Linked DNA regions of Mus musculus. The protein of the gene in region 3 interacts with the protein of the main gene of each other region in a pairwise test. Links are inferred from orthologs where the notes say so. Each region holds a gene or a part of one and is shown on either strand. Other genes may lie near its edges. The genes, in order: Syk, Rad23b, Usp25 and Tnks2.

Region 1 (4,943 bases), on a different chromosome or scaffold from region 3:
CCACCTCCTATACACACACACACACACACACACACACACACACACACACACACATGGGATAGTTCAGGCTGCAAAGTGCTCACCTTGCAAACACAAGAACCTGAGTTAAATCCCCTAAACCCATGTAAAAATACAAGCGTGGTATTGAATGTTTGTGTGCCCAGTGCTGGGTAGAGAGACAGGCAGATCCCTGGGGCTCACAGGCTAGCCAGCCTGGCCTATTGGGTGAGCTTAGGCTAATGAAAACACTGTCTCAAAAAGCAAAGTGGAGAGTCCCTGAGGAATGACACCTGAGGATGGTCTCTGGGCTACACACACACACACACACACACACACACACACACACACACACAATGTGTTTGCACATACACAGGTGTGCACACACATGAGAACACACACGCTTACAACTAAAATACTTGATGTCATCCATCCGTATCACCATTTCCACTTAACTCTCAGGAAGGATGGCCTGTGCCTGGTGCACGTATGTGTGTAGCACAGTGAGAATGCATTCACTCAGTATCACATGTCATTCTCAAGTGAGTACAAGCGTAAGTTAGGTTGCACTAGCCGCCCACTGTTAGAAGGTGATGGGAGACCCCAGGGTGTCCTCAGATTCCAGGGGTTCAGGTTCTTGTGGCAATAACCCCATACTGAGGGATGGTTTCTTAAGTCCAAGAGGCTGAGACACAAAACACACAGCTAAGCATGGCTCACTCTGTAGGGCTTCTGCCCATAGGAGAACGCTTCCCACATCAGGACTCCGAAGCTCCAGACGTCACTCTTACTGGAGAACTTGTAGTAGTTGATGCATTCGGGGGCGTACCACTTCACGGGCCACTTCCCGTGGGTCTGGGCCTGGAAGCAGAGTGGACACTCTGTGATGCGTTAAGTCAGGTGTGCACACCCCGATGCACAAAGGAGCTGGGTTTAAGGAGTGGGGTAGGAAAAAGCCTCTGCTGAAAGTCACAGTGTCAATTCAGTGAAAAGGACTCGGAAAAATCTCTCAAGGATCCACCAGTTTTGGGGCCAAGGAAGTGGCTCAGTTAGCAGTGGTTTCCTTTAACACGCATAAAGCCCCCAGTAGTTCTCAGCCTATGTAGTGACCCTTTTGGGGGTCACATATCAGACACCCTGCATATCAGTCGCGAAATTACAGTTATGAAGTAGCGATGAAAGATTTTAGGTTGGGGGTCACCACAACACGAGGAACTGTGTTAAAGGGTCATAGTATTAGGTAGACTGAGTAACCCAATCGTGGTGGTGAATACTTATAACCCCAGCACTCAGGAGACAGATGCCAACCTGGGCTCCATGAAACCCTGCCTAAGAAAAGAAAAATCAATTTGTTTGATTTGTATGTTTCAAAGCAAGTTGACGCAAGCATTTAGAGGCCAGCAAGATGGCTCAATGGGTAAGGTGCCTGCTGCCGAATCCGAAGATCAGAGTTCGATTCCTCCGATATGCATGGTAGATGGAGAGAATCAACTTCTGTAAGTTGTCCTCTGCTCTCTATTAGAACACTACGGCACACATGACTCCATACACAGAGCAAGATAAGTAAATGTAAAACGAAAAAAAAAAAAAAAAAAACCACCACCACCACCAAAAAACTCAACATAAGATCCTAGTCTGAAAAAGATTCCAGTTGAGAAACATTACAGTATTTTTGGTTTGTGTTTCTTGATGGACAGAATCGATCTTAAGAATACTTTTCTCCAAGGTTACTAGTGAGATTTCTACCATAGTAAAATACAGAGAGCACACATTTATCTTTCTATATCTTTATAACCTGCAACCTTAACTATGCATGGAAGCTGTCCCCTCAGCTGCTCTGTGAGCCTGTACTGAGCTCTCAGCCTGCTCCGTGAGCCTGCACAGAGCTGTTTCCTCTCCCTGTTCTGTGAGCTTGCACCGAGCGCTCCTACCTTGTAGTAGTTTTCATCAGCACGCAGGGCTTTGGAAAGACCGAAATCGCTGATCTTGGCATAGTGCTGTGTGACCAGAAGCACGTTCCGCGCAGCCAGATCTCTGTGCACAAAGTTGCTCTCTTCCAAATACTTCATCCCCATGGAAACCTGGTGAACCAGCTCTATGATGTTCTTATCCTTAATGTGCCTAGAATCACACGACATCATTACCAAGAGTGGACGGCGGCCATTCCAAACACACAGCCGTGTCCCCCGAGTACATGGAAGAAGGGTCGGTCCACTCGTTCCTTCTTTGTCGACAACAGGACAGGCTGGGAAGATGACTCAGGGCGAGGACAGTTGCTGCGTGCACAACCTGAGGACCTAAGTTTCGATCCCCAGAAGTGATGGGAGAAAGTTGAGTGTGGTCACCTGTGCTGTAATCTCAGCACTGGGAGGGGATGGGGACAGGAAGAGGCGGAGGCTTGCTGGCTATCAGAATAACCAAAACCACACCAAATCAAACCACGCCAAACCAAACAGGCAGGACTTTCTGTTTGTGGGAGAACCTTTTTTGTTTGTTTGTTTGTTTGTTTTTGACAAGGTCTCCCTCTGTAGCCCCAACTAGCCTGGAATAAACTGTGTCGATCAGACTGGCCTCAAACTCACAGAGAGCCACCAACCTCGGCCTCTTTGGTGTTGAGATTAAGGGTCTGTGCTACCACACCTGGCTGTGTTTCGAGGGAATAAAGCAGAGAGTGATTGAGAAGGACACACACAGTGGCCTCTCCTGGCCTCTGCACGTATGCATGGGCATGCATACCCATGTACATGTGCATACACATATACACATACACACATGTGCATACACATATACACATACACACACTATATGATGAGTGTGCTTCATTTTCAGGCATGCTTTGAGATGGACAAAAATTCATAGCGCTATGGAGAAAGCTTTTTAGGAAAGCGCTCATCCTGCAAGCAAGAGGACTTGAGTTTGATGCCTGGCGCCCTCGTGAAATAAAAGCCAAACATGGCGGGCGGCCTGCACTTGTAATCCCAAAGCCGGGTAAGTGAAACGGGTGGATTCTTGGTGTTCCCTGCCCAGAAAGTCTAGCTAAACTGATGAGCTCTGGCCCATGAGGGACCTCTGTCTCAGAGGAAGCAGATGGTATTCTAAGGGATGGGCATGGGTTTGGCTTGACCTTTGGCCTCCACCTGCTGCACATGCTCAAACTCACACATCCATGTTGGAAATGATGACGAAAAGCTGTACAGAAGGAACCCCGGCTCAGAGGAATCGGGGAGTTACTCTATGTTGACCGCAGCATTAGAGCACCTATGTCTGGACCAGAATCAACGAACTGCTGCTGCCTCTTCAGATGCAGGCACTCAAGAGGTCGGCCAGACGAGACACAGATGGTGCCCCAGGAACATGTTTGTTCCAGGTGTTTACCAAAGAAGAATGTTCTGCCTGCTGGTGGGCAATGCCCTGTCCACACACATTGAGGATTTTATCACTGGACAGGGCTAGGAAGGTGCCTTAGTTGGTAAACTGTTTGACTTATAGGGATGAAGCCTGAGTTGGGACCCACAGTGCTCATATAAAAGCCAGGTATGCCAGTGAGAACCTGTAATCCCTGGGGCTCTGTTTGGCTGAATTGGTGAGCTCCGGTGTTAGTGAGAGACCTTGTCTCACGAAATAAGGCAGAGAGCTAACAAGATAGTTCCTTGTCTCACGAAATAAGGCGGAGAGCTAATGAGATAGTTCCTTGTCTCATGAAATAAGGCGGAGAGCTAACGAGATAGTTCAGTGGTTAAGAACGCCTTCTGTTCTTTTTTCTTTTCTTTTCTTCTTTTTTCTTTCTTTTTTTTTTCTCCTTTTTGGTTTTTTTTCGAGACAGGGTTTCTCTGTGTAGTCCTGGCTGTCCTGGAACTCACTTTGTAGACCAGGCTGGCCTCAAACTCAGAAATCCACCTGCCTCTGCCTCCTAAGTGCTAGGATTAAAGGCCTGTGTCACCACTGCCTGGCTACACGTACTGTTCTTGCAGAGGACCGGAGTTTGGTTCCCAGCACTTATGTTGGGAGGCTCACAAGTGCTGTAAGCCCAGCTCCGAGGGATCTGACCAGCTCCTCTAGCCTCCATAAGTATCTGCGTTGTGTGGCACACACTCACACCAACATTCACATAAATAAAAAAAAAAAATTAAGTTGGAGACTGAGAGAGGAGAGAGGGTGATCTCCAATATTGACCTCTGGCTTCCACATAAACACATCCACACAGGTGCACACCCTCAAAGATGTACACACACACACACACACACACACACAGAGAGAGAGAGAGAGAGAGAGAGAGAGACACGAAGAGAGACAGAGAGACAGAGACTCAGAGACACAGAGAGGAGAGGGAGAGAGAGCTTCCCCTAGAAATCAGGCCCGGCACAGCCCAAACTCGGGGGACAGGGCGTGTGTGGGGGCGGGGCCCCGGCACAGCCCAAACTCGGGGGACAGGGCATGTGCGGGGTGGCACCGCACACAACTCGCATGCCCCAGGTCACCTGTTCTGCTGCAGGTACTTGTTGAGCGGCCCCAGCTCCGCCATCTCCATCACCAGCATCCAGGACTCCGCCTCGCAGATTCCGATCATGCGCACAATGTAGGGGTTGTCCAGCTGCTGCATGACGTTCGCCTCTGCCAGCAGCTCGTCCTTCAAAGCCGGGTCGTTGGCCTCGTTCTTCAGGATTTTCACAGCCACGGTTTTCACAACTCTGTGACACAGATTGTAACTTGTGAGAAACTTTCCAAACTGCCTAGAGGTCCTCTTCTCTGTAGTCACATTGTGTGTGTGTTGGGGGGAGGGGGGTGGAGGGGAATGGTGCTGACACCCGCTGCCCAATGAGAATCTCTTAAAGCCATTCAGAAAAACAAAACAAAGCAACCCAAAAACAAACAAACAAACAAACGAAAAAAAAAAAACAAACAAGAAACGGCCATGGGCTGGGGAGATAACCCAGTGTAAAAAGCGC
Region 2 (4,943 bases), on a different chromosome or scaffold from region 3:
ACTGGGAAGGCAGAGGATCATCTTAGGCATGGCTGAGTCATATAGTAAATTCAATTCCAGACCAGCTCTATCTAAGAGTCAGAAAGAAAGTTAGTTTTAAGTGATTTCTTATATTAAGAAATCACTTAAAATATAAATATAAGAAACACAACAGTTCTGAAAGGTAAATGATGGAGAAAATACAAATTCTTCCAAAAATACTCCACTCCCAAAACAACATTAAAGAGCTGGGGGTTGGGGGGTTGGCAGACGCCTTTAATCCCAGCACTCGGGAGGCAGAGGCAGAGGCAGGCGGATTTCTGAGTTCCAGGCCAGCCTGGTCTACACAAAGTGAGTTCCAGGACAGCCAGGGCTACACAGATAAACCCTGTCTAGAAAAAAACAAACAAACAGAGCTGGGGGGGGGGGGGCAGTGTGATGGCTCAGTGAGTAAGTACACTGACTGCTCTTCCGAAGGTCCCAGGTTCAAATCCCAGCAACCACATAGTGGCTCACAACCATCCTTAATGAGATCTGACGCCCTCTTCTGGTGCTGTCTGGAGACAGCTACAGTGTACTTATTTATAATAGTAAATACATCTTTGGGCCAGAGTAAGCGGGCCTGACTAGGCCAGACTGGAGCAAGCAGGGCTGACCAGAGCGAGCAGAGGTACTAAATTCAATTCCCAACAACCATATGAAGGCTCACAACCATCTGTACACGTACAGTGTATATATAATAAATAAATAAATCTTAAAAAAGAAAAAGAAAAAGAAAGAAAGAAAGCAAAGCAAAGCTAAGCTAAGCTACCATGGGGGCTGGAAAGATGGCTCAGAGATGGTTAAGAGCACTGACTGCTCTTCCAGGGGTCCTGAGTTCAATTCCCAGCAACCACATGGTGACTCACAACCATCTGTAATGGGATCTGATGATGCCTTCTTCTGGTGTGTCTGAACACAGCTACAGTGTACTCATATAAATATAATAAATCTATCTTTAAAAAAAAAAACAAAAAGGGGGGCTGGTGAGATGGCTCAAATCCCAGCAACCATATGGTGGCTCACAACCACCTGTAACAAGATCTGATGCCCTCTTCTGGTGTGTCTGAAGACAGCCACAGTGTACTTACATATAATAAATAAATACATCTTTAAAAAAAAAAAAAACTAAAAAAGAAAGCAAGCTACCATGGACCTAAGTAGAGAACTTACTCTTCATGTACATATTGTATTTTCCACACTAATAGGCTATTCTGTGCTGTATAAAACTCAACTATTTTCTGGTCTGAGCATGAAGTATGCCCATAGGTAAGTTTCTAAGAGGCAATGTTCCACTCATAGCAATCTTATGAAAAGCAATTTCCAAAGTTAAACACCCTCTCAGATTCTCCAATACATTAATTAATGTACCTGGGGAATCTGGAAGAGGAAGTAAGCCTTTCCCAAACTAAATTAGTTAACCTATGTAAGCTGATCAATCGTTCTATCTCAATTCGTTCTTCACTATGCCTACGTAGAACACAGGCCATGGGTTTAACTGTGGTACAAAGTAAAACATTCCAATCCCATTTTCCAAATTAACATGGATCAGTCACCTGCAGCAGCTGAGGGTTCTCCCGACCTATCTGCTGTAGCAAGGCTGGCAGCAAAGAAGGATTCTGCTGGATAATTTGTCTCATCTGTTGAAACTGAGGCTGATTCCGTAAAAATTCAAGGGGGTGGCCTGAAATACACACATTTCAAAACAATAGCAATAAGTACATGTAACAGCAAGCAGCTAAACCATTCGGACAGAAAACATTATATATGAAAAGGACCTGCCTTCGAGTGTTATAGAGAAAGCAAGTCACAAACTCTCCAAACCCCAATGTGCCTGCTACCTTTGCTCTAGACAAGTTATACTAATACTAGCAAAGGATAGAACACTGAGAGGCTAGCCCACCCACAATGCCCTGTGAGCCACCACACAAAAAATGGTGTCCTATATCAAAATAAAAGGTTGTCATATTATTGCAGTTGCTCACAAATAAGAAACATAAGCATGTTTGTGGACATTCAGTCCTATAATTATGTGTAATAAGTGAGACTCAGGGACCAAAATTACCTAGTAGGTGGTGAATAGGAAATACTAAAATCTGAGCCAGAACAACGCCTCCTCTTTCTCATGAGTCCCAACTGTTTGCCAAAATGAGCAAGAAGCTATCAATTCAAAACAAAAAACCCCAGCTTTTTCGAAGTTAGCAGCTCAACCACCACCACCTCCACCACCACCACCGTTTTTTGAGACAGTGCCTCTCTCTCCCTCTATGTACCCTGGCTGTTTGAGAACTCTGCTGCGTAGAGAATGTTCCCTCAAACTCAGATATGTGTCTGCCTTTGCTTCCCAATGCTAGGATTAAAGGAGTGTGCCTCTACACCATGCCTGAAATGATACTTTCTTAGCAAGGTGAGGCATCCACATAAAACGGACACCGAATTCAATCTGTGACTAGGCGTTTCTAAGAGTGAACTAGTAGTGTAGCTTTGACAACACTGGTGTACACTAAAAGCCAGAGGCTCTCTTTACTGTGAGTAAAGAAAAAAAAACATAAGGTTTATTCAAGCATTCTGGGAATGAAGCTTAACCACTGAAGTATTTCGTATTAAATAATCTTATACTAAAAACTCAAGACCATTTGTCATTTGTCACTTTACCTCCAGAAGTGGTTGTTGTAGTTGCTGTCGTGGTTGCTGCAGCTGCAGCTACTGCTGGAGACTGAGGAGTTCCAGTACTCACAGCCTGAGGAGGAGGGTCAACCACAGCCTGACTTTCTCTATCTCCAGGGATTCCCTGCCAACACAATTTCCAAATTTTAAGATCTCTCTCCCTCTCCTCCCTCCCTCCTACACACCACACACACACACACACACACAATTAGAAACAGCAAAACATCTGTAGCTTATTGAACATTGTCTGTGTACAATAGAAGCCTGCTTATGAAATCTTACAAGTGGCCCAGATACAATGCACTGTAGCATTTGCATTACAAGGTAGCATTGGTCAACGGAATTTTCCAGTGACAGACAGATGCACTATCCAGTAACAGCTACAACCCATGTCAACTTAAACTCTAAGAGTATCAGTAAGTAAGGTGTTCAGTGCCCATGAGTTCCAGGTGACTTTTGCTGCAGAGGTTTTCATAATCTGACATTCCACTGTGAATGTCACAGTTCCACAAAGAACTGTGTTTGCATGAATCAGGCAACTGATGGACAAGCAACCAAGTCTCCTCTACTGACCTAGTGCTTCTAAACAAGTATCACCTAGAAAATGTCACACATTAAAAATAAACAAATAGACAAAATGGTGTGTAATGTAAATAGTTTACATTTCAAATGATGCTCTTCTTATGTTTCAAGCACATCTTGAAATTATTACAATTTAAAAGGTACACTCAGAGTTTCTACTTTGATGCAGAAGATTTAAACAAATGGCAGTTATACCCATTTAAAAATCCATCAAACTCTTGCTGGGCGTGGTGGTGCATGCCTTTAATCCCAGCACTTGGGAAGCAGAGGCAGGTGGATTTCTGAGTTTGAGGCCAGTCTGGTCTACAAAGTGAGTTCCAGGACAGCCAGGGCTACACAGAGAAACCCTGTCTCGAAAAACCAAAAAAAAAAAAAAAAAATCCATCAAATTCTTAGACTTTAACAGATGGTAATGAGTTCATTTCCTATTAAACCAAAGCCAAATTCACTTAAAGAAGAAAAAGCAGTGGCCAATGGGGGCTGCACTAAAGCACTCAAAACAGCTATTGTTCACGTGGAATTACAAGACTATTAGCAGATTCAGGGTCCAGAATGTCCATCAAATTCTCAAACAGAAAAAGTTCATGCTGCTTCCTCAGAGGATAACTAAACTTTTGCCCTAAGTAATTCCTAACAGATCTAAGGCCTGTTATTACAGAGTCACCTTCAGCAGAGCCTCACTAGTGTGAAAGGTACCACTCCAAAGAAAAACCACTTCATAAATCACCTCACATCATTCTCTAAATAAATCATTTCAGAATCTTTCCCAGAAGGTTCCATCTTACAACACAAAATGTTACCATTGGATGGGAACTTTCTAGCATGACGCTATCCACTGGATTGTTAACTCATCTATTAAATTTTCTGAAAGAGTCTGAAAGAGACAAGTAAAACACACTTCTCACCATTAGAAGATATTCCACAGCTCTGTCAGGGTTGTTGAAGCTGGCTCTCAGGGCTGCAATTACTTGTTCTCGTTCATAGCCCATTGACATGATCTCAGTTACCATATTCTCATAAGACTGACCTGTCACTAAACCGGTGTGTGGGGGACAAGGGGAAGAAAAGTACAGGAACATTCAACAAACATTCTCTGCATAGTTCTTGACTGCATAATGTCTATGGTCCATAGACTGCTAGGCTAGGCTAGACAATAAACAATGTAAGAAGTCCAAGTCCATGTTCTAACCCCCAGAACCTACCTAACCTATAAATATGTATGATAAAGGGAAGTGACCTTCCAGATAGACCCAATGTCATCAACAAGGGTCCGGGTCCTTAAAAGTGGGACAGAAACAGGGTTAGAGACAATAACGACAAAAGCAGGACCAGAGTTCTGCTGTTGTTTTTTTTGGCAGGTGGAGAAAAGGCCTGAAAGCTTCTAGAAGTCATAAGGAACTAGGCTCTACCAAGTCTCCAAATAACATACAGTCTTGCTGATTCCTTGGTATCAGTCAGCAAGATCTATGTCAAAGATTCTGACCTACAAAAATGGCCAGGTAACAAATTGTTTTATACCACACTAGCTTTGTGGCAACTTACAAAAGTAACAGAAAACTAGTAGGGATACCAGGTACCAATACAAGAAGGAATTTACAGGTCAGGAGAGGCAACCTGTTATTAAGAGAGCAGGGAGCCAGCACCTGTGGATCTTTCTTATAATCCCATTTGGAAGG
Region 3 (5,736 bases):
AATGGGTGCTGCTATGTCTGCTTCTTACATGGGTGCTGGAGACCAAACACAGGTTCTCATGTTTGGGCAAAGGACATTTTAGTGGCTGGCCTAGCTCTTTGGCCCCCAAGGCAGTATTTTTTTAGGGAACTGTTTTACTGCTTTTGAATTGTGGCATGGTGTGTCTAGAAAATATGATTGGTAACCATTATAAAAAATTATAAATATCTTTTTTTCCTTTTCCCCTCCTCCTTCTCCCTCTCCCCTACTCCTCTCAAGACTACTACAGTTTAACTTGCTATGTAGCCAGCTGGCCTAAAATGAGAACATTTCTGCCCCAGCTTGCTCAGTGATGGACATACCTGGATACTTATGGCAAAACTAATAAGATTTTTTTTTCTGACTACTGTTTTTGTATTTATACACAGAGCAAACAATGATAGCACTTTTTGAATAATCTGTTGTCTTGACTCTTTTCAATTGAAGAGGATATTTATGCCTCTATATATCCTCATACTACATTTAAAAATAATAATAAATGCCCACTTAGACCCGTTAAACACTCAGATCTGAAGAAGTTTCTCGTGTCTACAAAGTGTAAAGTTTTCTAAGAAGACTTAGAGACATTTCATGAGTTGCCCAAGGTCACAGAGCGCAATTTTGATCTAATCCACGTCCTGTCTCGTTCCTTCTACCACTTACTTTCCTGGATGCTTGTCAAGCCCTCTTTGTTTCTCAGGAACCAAATGTCAGTTCTTACTTAGGGATCTAAGGAGTCACTCTACTTGCTTTCCCTCCAACAACCATTCACATTAACTATTGACTGAGTCCTACTATGGGACAAGAACAGTTCTAAGTCCTCTTGTGCAGCCGAACAGGTAACTCACTCACGAGGCTGCTTTCCTGGTGAAGGGCTCAACTCTAAGTCACCTTGATTCCTGGGAGGAAGTTACCAATCCTTCCCTAATGAACTGGGATTTGGAATGTGAATGTATGTATCTAGTTTCTTCTAAGATATAATGATCCGACAGCAAGGTAAATAGCAAGCACAAAGGATGAAGATAGAGGGCCAAGAAAACAATAACCGCAAGTTTACCTGTACTCCACACATTGCCAAACCCTCTCGTATAACATCTCAAACCTCTCAAACGCTCTCTCTGCAGGTTTCCAACTTTTCCTAACTCCTGGTTTGGCAAACTTCAGGAATTAAGCAGAGACTACAGGAAGGGAAGACACTGCCCCTTCGAATTACATTGTTGCACCTTACTTAGATTTAAAAAAAAAGAAAAGAAAAGAAAAGAAAAAAGAAAAAAGAAAGAAAAGAAACACAAAGTTTTGTGTACTGTTGCTTTAAAAAGATACTAATCTTACAGCTCTTTACAATAAAAAGGAAGAAAAATCTTGAAAACAGAAAATCATTTCAACAACTATAATGGCCATTTACTTAAAATTTGTCAACAGATCTGCACACTTTTTAGAGAGGAGAAAAAAAAAAGAAAAGAAAAGAAAACTGCAAAAATTCTATCTACACAGCAGCCTGCTCCTGATAGCCCTTCCTTTCCCTGACAGTCTTTGAAGCTTCTAAGTGAAATTAGTTTCACTTTTGTTTCTTAAGTATAGAGTTCACTTCCTACTTCTTAAGGCAAAGTCCTAGCCCTAGTTTCTAGCGTCATTTTAAAACTTCAACTTTGAGTTACATTGTTTCAAAAGAATTTAAAACCATACTGTTTGGCCCTGTTCTAATACTGGTCACAAAATAACAGTGTATTAACAAGGCAAAGGAACACATTTAAAAAACTACAAATGTAGTTCAGTTGGTAGAGTTCTTGGCTAGCATGATGAGGCCCTAGGTTCAGTCCCCAACACCATTAAAAGTAAATATTCTGGGTGTACAAAAATATATGATGTTGCTCTAAAAGCATTCACCAATTATCAGTGAAATGATTTAACATACTCAACACATGCTAAAAACAGCATCACAATGTTAATATTTTGAATTAGAGAATATTCTCTTAGGGGAGAGGAGGCTTATTAAGCATGAATATTGGACTAGAAAACAAAGTTAACTTTCAGTAATTTGATTCTTGATTCTACAGACTTATGTATACAGTTCTGAGCCATCAAGGTAGTTATCTGACTATGCAAAGAAGTGGTTTAGTCAAAACGAAAGACAAAACCCATAAAGTCCTTGCAATCTTGAAGTTTAAGAGAAGCAAAAAAGACAGCAACTTTTCCCACTTTGAGATAAAGACGTTTTAAAATGCAAAATGAGTATAAAGAAAATGCTACTGAGCCTATTGCTTAACATGCCAAAGATCCCATGACCTTCCAACCAAAACTACAGCACACATTCAACATCAACATCTAAAGATTATAGTGTTCTAGGAACAACATACAGAATTGGGAGGCCAACTGTTTTCTTCGTTATTGTTATTCAGTCTTGAATTCTTCTGCCACATTACAAACTACATCACAGTTCACCATAATCGTCTCAATGTGCAAGAAGCATAGACTAAAATAGGCTCCAAAACCAACTTTAACCAAAGTGTCTAAAATAACAATGCACTATCCCTACTTTCCAACATTCTCTGACATCTTTGGTTATCTCAAGGAACATAAAATGCTAAAACTATTTTAATGACAAAAAGAAAAAAACGGGGGGGGGGGGCTGTTTGAAGGTATTGGTCTATTTTTTAGTACAACAGGCCTCACTTTAAAGACAAGCACAGGTAGGCTTTACAGCAAGTACCTAGTGTCAAAACTACAGCAGGGTGTGGCATCCATTACTCACACCGATGAGCCAAAGGAGGCTCTGGCTGTTCACTGTATACCTAATTGCTCCTACAATTAGAATTCAACTAAGCCAACATTTCCCCGGTGCTCAAAATGCTTTTCACACCAATAAGGGGGGAGGGGGGAGGGCAGAACAAGTAATGACCGTCTGCTCTTCAGGACATGGAGCAAGCTATGCTGGAGCTTTTAAAGATTCTTAAAGTAAAACCTAGAACTAGCAAGATACTGTTCGAGAAACAATATGTGATGACCCCCCTAACTCTGCGTGAAACTGATGCTAGAGTAAAGAACGAACAAGAGAGCAAGGTCAAACTTAGGGGACAAAAGATTTGAGTAACAGCCATAAAGGTCTCCTTACGCGCGAGATACTTTCTAGATCCAAGAGAGAATAAAATAAAGAAAAGAAAGAATAACCAACCAAACACTCTACTTGTACAGATTCCACCCTGGGTCGATGCGATGTACCTGCCCTGGAAGACAGGTAATTCGTTTTGGGGAGGTCCGGTTTTTTTTTCCCCAGAACAGCAGGCCTGGCACAATAAGACCTCCGAAAGAGAAACTGTCCAAAAGGGGTGACAAGTGACATTCTTGCAGAAGAAAAGGGACTGGAAAAGGAAGCGAAGGAGAAGAAAGTTTAATTACAAAGCCTGGCAGAGTGAGTACTGGAGGAATGCGGGGGTCACTCTGGGGACGCGGCGCCGTCGGTTCTGGGAGAGCAATCCGCAGAAGGGAGTGGACGCGAAGCCTCTCACTACTGCACACCCCGCTCCGCACGCAGCCCCGCGGGACCGAGCGCGACGCTCCCGGAGTGGCCCGGCCGGCCGGGAGGCCACGCGGCCCGTCGAGGAGCGGCGACCAGCCCGCGCCTCACCTTCTGCGCCGCGCTCTGCTGCAGCACATTCTGCTCCACGGTCATGGCCCCCGCGGCGGCCCCGCCTGTCGCGCTCTACCGGGCCCGGGGCAGCGACGCGGACGGCCCGGGAGGACGGCGCCCCCGCCAGCCGGGCGCGAAGGCGATGGCGGCGGGCGAACGCGGGCCCCGCGGGCAAGCGGCGAGACGCTACCGGAGAGCGCCACCGCGGCCGCCTCAGGTCCTCTGCGCCCCGATCCTCAGCGCCGCTGAGCCGCGGCGGCCCGGCCCATGGGCGCAGGCGACGGAGAGCACGATCAAGCCGGGCCGCGTCACGCGTTCGCACTCAGCTTCGCCTGACCGCTCCGGGGGGACCACTGCGGGCCGGCGGCAAGCGGACGGAGGGAGCGGCCACCCGGAATGGCGCTGTCCTCCGGCCGCCGCGACTCCGCCTCCAGCCCCTCCCTCGCCGCGGTCACCGCCCCCGCCCCGCCCTCCTGCCCCGCCCCCGCTCTGCCCCGCCCCACCCGTCCTAACCCTACATTGTGACCCGCGGGAGCGGAAGGAGGGGCTGTGTTGCTGCCCCGCCCCCTGGTGGGCCCCGCCCTCCGTCTAAGCTCCTCTCAGCGCGCGGGCTGGACGGCCAGAACCGCCCATCCTGCAGGTTACTGTGCACCATTTAAGGCTCTTGCTAAACTCTGACATTGCGACCCCCCGACCCCCAGTCGAGGCTAGAGCCATAGGACGGTATACCAGATCACCTTCCTGTCTAACGGTCTCCAAAACAATCAACGTCCTTCCATACCTGTAATGTCCCAAAACCTGGGCGGGCCCAGAACTCCAGCTATTTCCTATGTCACCCAAGCCTTTCTAGGAATTTCACAAGCCATGAACCTGCTGGAAGAAAAAAGTCAAATAAGCAGAACGCTGTTAGAAGTCCTTCTGGACTGTACTTTTCTCAACTATTCGTTACATACATCAGGACTGACATTCTGTGTTTATTTCATGCACTGGAATGTGTGACAGTCACTGCTAGACTGGGGATTTAAGGTTTATTTACTGAAGAGAATCTAAATGAATAGACATAAGGCAAACAACATTATGAAAGAATCACTGCCTAGATGATGCATAATTCTAATATCCCTGTTGCCAAATTAAACAAACGATTAACTACCGTATGTGGAATAGTCTACTGTAAACGGAATTGGAGGAAAAGCCTAACAGTAAGTAAGAAACCTGGAAGTAAAATATCTTCAATTGCACCAGCTAAACTAGGGACAGAGTAAGACCGAGACCCAGGGGAGGGTAGATTAATGAGCACAGGGTTACAAATACAATAATACAGTGCACATACAAGTTAGACTGTAATTTAATCCACGGCAAGAAAAGCAGGCTTGGTAAAGAATCCAAGAAATACCAGGTCTTATATCATCATAATAACTCGGAAAAAGTCTTGTAATAACTCTTTGTACTTTATAACCACATCTAATCTTCCTTTGGGATGTCTTCAACCCTCTTTTGTGATTCCTTCCTTGTATTTGTCATGTTCGTTTGACAAATTTTAAATTTTGACTTCATTCATGGTCCTAAATCCTTGACTACAAAGGTTGTGAAATGATTGGAGGTGAGGAATTTTATGGATACTGCAAGAATTCCAGAGCACATGCTGTTTATGAGAACACAGACCCGGAGAGCACGTGTCTGAGAATGGACCTCAGAGCTACGTTTCCACAGTTAGAGACCTCAGCGCTGTAACTTCTCATTCACAGAGTAGCTTTGTGATTCTCCACAGGGGAGAGAGTTTTACAAGGTCATTTTCTTCCATTCAAAAGTACAAAAATTACCTGAGATTTGAGATACTGCTCACTAGTAGTAAGCATGGAAGCACATAGCTACACATTTGATCTTCAGGACCACTGCTTTTAAAAAGTTAAAAATTAATGTGAAAAAACTATTACAATGGTTTTTTTTTAAATCTATTGCCAGATATTCAACTTTAACTTCAGGAATTTGGTAGTACAATAATTCCCCAGAGTTTCATTATTTAGTCTTAGTTTTAAAATCTTTAGTACCTACCTAGTAGATAAAAGTTTAATAGCCCACCTAGAGATTTA
Region 4 (5,396 bases), on a different chromosome or scaffold from region 3:
CCTCTAAACTTTAACTGGCTATTTTAATAATTTTTTTTCTCAGCACTAACTCTTTTTTTTTCCCCGAGATAGGGTTTCTCTGTGTAGCCCTGGCTGTCCTGGAACTCACTTTGTAGACCAGGCTGGCCTCGAACTCAGAAATCCGCCTGTCTCTGCCTCCCAAGTGCTGGGATTAAAGGCCTGCGCCACCACTGCTGGGCTCTTTTTTTTTTTTTTTTTTTTTCTCTAAAAGAATGAATTCTCTATAAAATAAAAACACAAGTAACTGCTTGGTCAGGCAATTATCAAGTACCACCACCTGCAGAGGAGGATCCAAAAGTATGCTTGCATAAACACAAATGGTAACTCACAAAGAAAATGCTAGTGAGCAACTTTACTTAAAAATAAACAGGGCTGGCAATATGGCTCAGGGGTTAAGTGCACTGACTGCTCTTCCGAAGGTCCCTGAGTTCAAATCCCAGCAACCACAGGGTGGCTCACAACCATCTGTAATGGGATCCAATGCACTTTTCTGGTGTGTGTCTGAAGATAGCTACAGGGTACTCATATAAATGAAAATAAATAAATCTTTAAAAAAAAGCAAAAAACAAAAAAACCAGGGCTGATTGAGACTATAGCTCAGCAGGTGCACATATGTCTAGTAGGGCCAAGCAAGGTTCTAGTTCCATATCCAGAAAAGGAATAAATTCATTAGTGATTAGTGCCACATTAATCTAATAATTTGGATTTTAAAATTCACAAAGCCATTTTTTTTAAAGCTCCTTATTTTTTTATGCAGGGTTTAAATGTAAGACTCTTAAAACTGTGACTTAATATCAATTCTTTAGTGATTATTTTTCTGTGTATATGGTAGGCTAGGTGTATCTGCGCGTGTGAGTGGGTGGCAGGGCAGGCATCTTCATCGATGGCTCTCCTCCATCTAATTTTTGAGACAGGGTCACTGCACTGACCCTGGGGCTCATGGCTTTTCAAGTAAGTCCCACGGATCCTTCTGTCTCCACCTCCTAGTGTGGGGCTATAAGTGTGCATCAACAGAACTGCCTTTTTACGTGGGTGCTAGGGATCTCAACTCAGGCCCTCCTGTTTGCAAGGCAAGCAAGTACTTTATCCACTGAGCCATCTCCCTAGTATCTTTAGTAATTATTTTATGTTTTCCTTTTTACATTTTAACTTCTTAATTTTACAACCTACAACTGGCAATATAGGTGAATTTTGAGTGGTGAATTGCTCTCTATAATATTTAAATTCCCATTTCAATCTGGAGAAACAATATAAAATACATGTAAAATATTCCTTAATATGTTGAGGCAGGGGTAGGGTCTAATCTACCTCATTCAGAGGCCAGAACACTTGTCTGGCATGTGCAAGGTCTTATATTCCATCCGTGTGGGTGGGGGAGGGGCATACTGGAGCAGAGCTGAGGGTGGGATGGTGTGGGAGCAACAAGGTCACACCATAAGTCCCCAACCCGCACCTCAAAATACTACTATTTTCAGACATGAACTCACTAATACATTAAATTCTTGAAAGGTGGCAACTAAGATCGACCTTGGCTATTTTTATCAAGCGTACATAATCTAAGTAACATTACCCCTTTGGATTATCTAGCACTTGGTTGTGACCATTTGCCAAATAGGTTGGCTAAATGGTCAAGCAAGACAATTCAAACTAGCTGAAGCAAGGCAACACTGCTAACAGAGATTTGGCTTCATGCTCTCACTTCTCAGTGCCCACAGGCAAATTTCTCTTCTGCCCAATTGTGGTTTTCCCAAACTTTTCCCTTGCTCCCAAACCGGCAATCAATTAAGGAGGCATGATTTCTGACAGTACATACATTTTAAAATAGGGACAGGTCAAAGCAAACAGACCTACAATTGGAAGAACTGTAAAATCAATGCCTGTAAACAAACAAACAATAAATCTTTTTTTATACTCTTTTGTCTACCATTTTTGCCCCTAAGGAACACAAGAAACTAAAATTTTTTTTTAAATATAAAGAACTGCTAAACAATTCTGATGCACACTGTATCAAATGTTACCAGGCTAAGAGGATCTTATTTGATTATGAGGTTAAAAAGTTACAAACTGTCCTTAACATGAATAATCATTAAGTTGGTTCCCATCCCTGGCCTTTTCAAATAAATACCTCAACAAGCAAACTTCAACACGCTGGTACCACAAAGAGAACCCAGTAGTTAAAAGTAACTCCAAACTATCTACAATAAATCTCAGGATGACTCAAAATCCTAGATCCAAGCTCAAGTGCGTGTCCTATCTTGTCTCTCAGCTCACTTTCCATCCCGACTTGTGCGGGAGTAAGGCAGAGGCCACCCACACACAACCTAAGTAGATCTCAGGTCTCCCAAACATGCCCATTTCCGGTTTTAGTCTCTCCAGAAACCTAATCCAATTAACTCTAATGAGCCAATAGCTAATAAAATAACTCCTAAATTAAAATTTCAGTTTATGACGGCCGCTAGAACTTAAGGGGTTACTAAGAGTGTCGATGAAACTTGCAAACATGGGTCCATTTTTTGGAGATAATTACTCTTTCAAATCACAAGGTCTACTAAGCCTTTCTTGTGTGCAGAGGCCCTCCGGGGTAATAAGACCGGAAGTCGGGGCAGGTATTGTTGATACAGTAAAACAAAACAAAGCTTCCCCCCTCCCAGCACACAAACAAACAAACAAACAAACAAAAAACCCCATAACCTCAAAAACAACTTCCCGAGAGCACGCTCACCCCACCCTCATCACGAGCCCCGAGAGAGGAGGGCGGGCGGCCAGGGTGAGAGTCCTGGGGAAAGGTCGGAGACAGGGCAGCGCCGCGCGGCTTGCGGCCTGCAAGCCCGAGCCTGCAGGTGGGGCGTGCGGGAGGCGCCGCGGGGCCCGCGTTTACCTGCGGCGAAGTGGAGCGGGGTGGACTTCCTGCCCGCCGTGTCGCGGCTGTTCACCTTCTCGGGCGTCACCAGCCTCTTGACTCGCTCCACGTCCCCGTTGCGGCAAGCCTCGAACAGCTCGCGGGCGGACGGCTCCACGGCCTCGGCCCCGGCGCTCGCGCAGGCCGCGCCCCCGCCGGCGCAGCGGCGGCCAGACATGATCCGGGCCGCCGCCGCCGCCGCCAGCAGCAGCGCCAGCAAAGGCAGCAGGAGCCCGGGCCCCGCGAGCAGGAGGGCGAGGCCCCCCGCAGGAGACGCGCTCAGGGCCCGGGCCGCTCCGCTCCCCGCTGTCACCAGAGTCGGCACGGTCCCATGGCCGCGTCGCCGCGCGCCCCCGGCTCGGCTCCGTGAGCCCCGGCTGCCCCACCGCGGTGGAGGCAGCGCGAACCCGCTCGCCGAGCCCCGAAGCGACGCGACGGCGGAAGCGGCCGAGACCACTCCTGCCAGCTCGGTCGGGTCCTGGGAGCGCGCGTGACGTCGGCTCGCGCGTGCGCAGTGGCTGCTCTCCGGCCGGGCCAGTTTGGGCAAGCGGGGCCGCGCGGAGGGGTTTGTGGGAAATGTGCAGGGAGAGCCTTTGGCTGCGGAAAGAGAAGGGGCTTCGGCCCACCGCCATCTTTACAGAGCCTCTGCTAAAAACGAGAGGTCTTGCTGCCTTTTCTTTTATTAAAGCCTACACTTCTCGAGACGAGTTTCATTGCTCAGACACCGAAGACGAATCTTGGGAAGTTTTGTTCTGATTATGCATTTTCTTGTGCAAGTTTTAGCGTGAAAATCTCTGCAGTGTTGCTTCCGTACCTTCCCCCTGGGAGATTTCTCACCCCTTCCCCCTCCTGCCTTCTTTACAGTGTCTCTTCCCTTAACTCTCCGCATCTGCTTTTGTTTTTCTTATAAGCGTTTTCTCAGAAATGAATCCGTTACGCTTACTGAGAAGTTTGGATGAGCGGCCCCCAGATAAATCAAGAAAGCGAAGAAAGTTCATCTCAATTCTAAAGCAACAATTGGGGGGTGGGGTGGCTGTGATTAGCTCCGCTTCCCATAGTAAATTATTAGCTCAGCGCTGACGAGGATCTATACATAAATCAGCATTGCACCGGATGTGGTCGAGGTGCTGATACAAAGCATACACATCAAAGTTTTCCGAAGTTTCTCTCTCTCTCTCTCTGATCAAAGAATACAAGTGCACAATTCATTTTCGTGTTTATTGTGTTTTATTAAAAAAAAAAAAACAACAACAACAAGGATGTGTTTTGTAGAGCCAGGTCTGGTAAGGTGGGAAGGATTCCTGGGCAGGCCCATGCTGAAACATCCCTTTCTTACCCCTGAGGTACCAGCCATACGGGTGTAGTGTAGAATCGAGTTTATTTAGGGCATGGGAAGGGGAGTAGAGAAGAGAGTAGAGGCAGAGAAGGACAGAGGAAGAGAGAAAAAGAAGAGAGGCCGGCCAGGAACACGTGGAGAGAGACGGGGGAGGGGGGATGGGAGAGAGGGAGAAAGGGGTTAGGAGAAGAGTCTGAGAGAGAAGGGGGACAAACAGCCAGGCCTACCTGGCTGTTGCCAGGTAACTGTTGGGCGGAGCCTGGAAAGAATGTTAGCTGTGTTTAAGGTAGTAGTGACATCTTGTTTCAGGAACCCGAAAGAAAGGAATACAGAGATTTTGCTTGCAAGAAAGTGCTGACTTTTGGCACGCTGACAAGCATTTCCCCTGTGAATTACTTAACCTGTTTTTCAGGAAATCCAGTTTTTGTTAGGGAGCGTTGACTCACTTCTGTGGGAGAAAAGCAGGGACACTTCTTGAGCATTTTAGTAAATGTACCTTCTTATATGTTTATTCCATTATGTTCTTAGACTACTTAGTGTAAATTTAAATTGATCCCTATTACTAAATAACTATTCATGAATATACCTAAGGATTAGAACCTTACTACTATGATTGTCTCATTTTTCTTCATTTCATCGACTTGCCAAATATATTCCCAATTTTTATAATTTTTTATTTAGTGATTTCTGCTTATGTATTTCCTCCCAATATGTGTATCTAAACAACATCATACAGCATCACTTACTCACTGATCTATCTCCTCAACCCTAACTGTTTTTGTTTTTTTCTTTTTTTCTTTTTCGAGACAGGGTTTCTCTGTGTAGCCCTGGCTGTCCTGGAACTCACTCTGTAGACCAGGCTGGCCTTGAACTCAGAAATCTGTCTGCCTCTGCCTCCCAAGTGCTGGGATTAAAGGCGTACAACACCACAGCCCAGCCTAACTTGTTTTTAAAACACTTGATTACTAGAGAAATGAAGTTAACAAAGAAACCATATTAGGATGGCTGTTCTAAAAGCAAACAAACAGCAAACAACAAATGTTGGTGAGATGGACAAATTAGAATCGTTTTGGCACTCTTAATGTGATCATAAAATGTGTATTATTACAGGAAACACTTGGTAGTTCCTTACAAAACTAA

What was found.
Region 1: the proteins of Usp25 (region 3) and Syk interact in binary tests that used the Homo sapiens proteins (3 or more experiments, as listed by UniProt). The link is inferred for Mus musculus from reciprocal best matches to the Homo sapiens genes USP25 and SYK.
Region 2: the proteins of Usp25 (region 3) and Rad23b interact in binary tests that used the Homo sapiens proteins (3 or more experiments, as listed by UniProt). The link is inferred for Mus musculus from reciprocal best matches to the Homo sapiens genes USP25 and RAD23B.
Region 4: the proteins of Usp25 (region 3) and Tnks2 interact in a two-hybrid assay, tested with the Homo sapiens proteins (2 studies listed by BioGRID and IntAct). The link is inferred for Mus musculus from reciprocal best matches to the Homo sapiens genes USP25 and TNKS2.

Annotation. Positions count from the first base shown.
Region 1 is NC_000079.6:52,637,780-52,642,722, reverse strand, and holds part of Syk (tyrosine-protein kinase SYK), read right to left. Parts: intron 4,686-4,943; coding exon 4,476-4,685; intron 2,119-4,475; coding exon 1,929-2,118; intron 859-1,928; coding exon 718-858; intron 1-717. UniProt on the Homo sapiens protein: Non-receptor tyrosine kinase which mediates signal transduction downstream of a variety of transmembrane receptors including classical immunoreceptors like the B-cell receptor (BCR).
Region 2 is NC_000070.6:55,380,346-55,385,288, reverse strand, and holds part of Rad23b (UV excision repair protein RAD23 homolog B), read right to left. Parts: intron 4,301-4,943; coding exon 4,173-4,300; intron 2,810-4,172; coding exon 2,674-2,809; intron 1,703-2,673; coding exon 1,575-1,702; intron 1-1,574. UniProt on the Homo sapiens protein: Multiubiquitin chain receptor involved in modulation of proteasomal degradation. Binds to polyubiquitin chains.
Region 3 is NC_000082.6:77,012,048-77,017,783, reverse strand, and holds the start of Usp25 (ubiquitin carboxyl-terminal hydrolase 25), read right to left. Parts: upstream 3,716-5,736; 5' UTR 3,689-3,715; coding exon 3,644-3,688; intron 1-3,643. UniProt on the Homo sapiens protein: Deubiquitinating enzyme that hydrolyzes ubiquitin moieties conjugated to substrates and thus, functions in various biological processes including inflammation and immune response.
Region 4 is NC_000085.6:36,832,240-36,837,635, reverse strand, and holds the start of Tnks2 (poly [ADP-ribose] polymerase tankyrase-2), read right to left. Parts: upstream 3,405-5,396; 5' UTR 3,099-3,404; coding exon 2,900-3,098; intron 1-2,899. UniProt on the Homo sapiens protein: Poly-ADP-ribosyltransferase involved in various processes such as Wnt signaling pathway, telomere length and vesicle trafficking.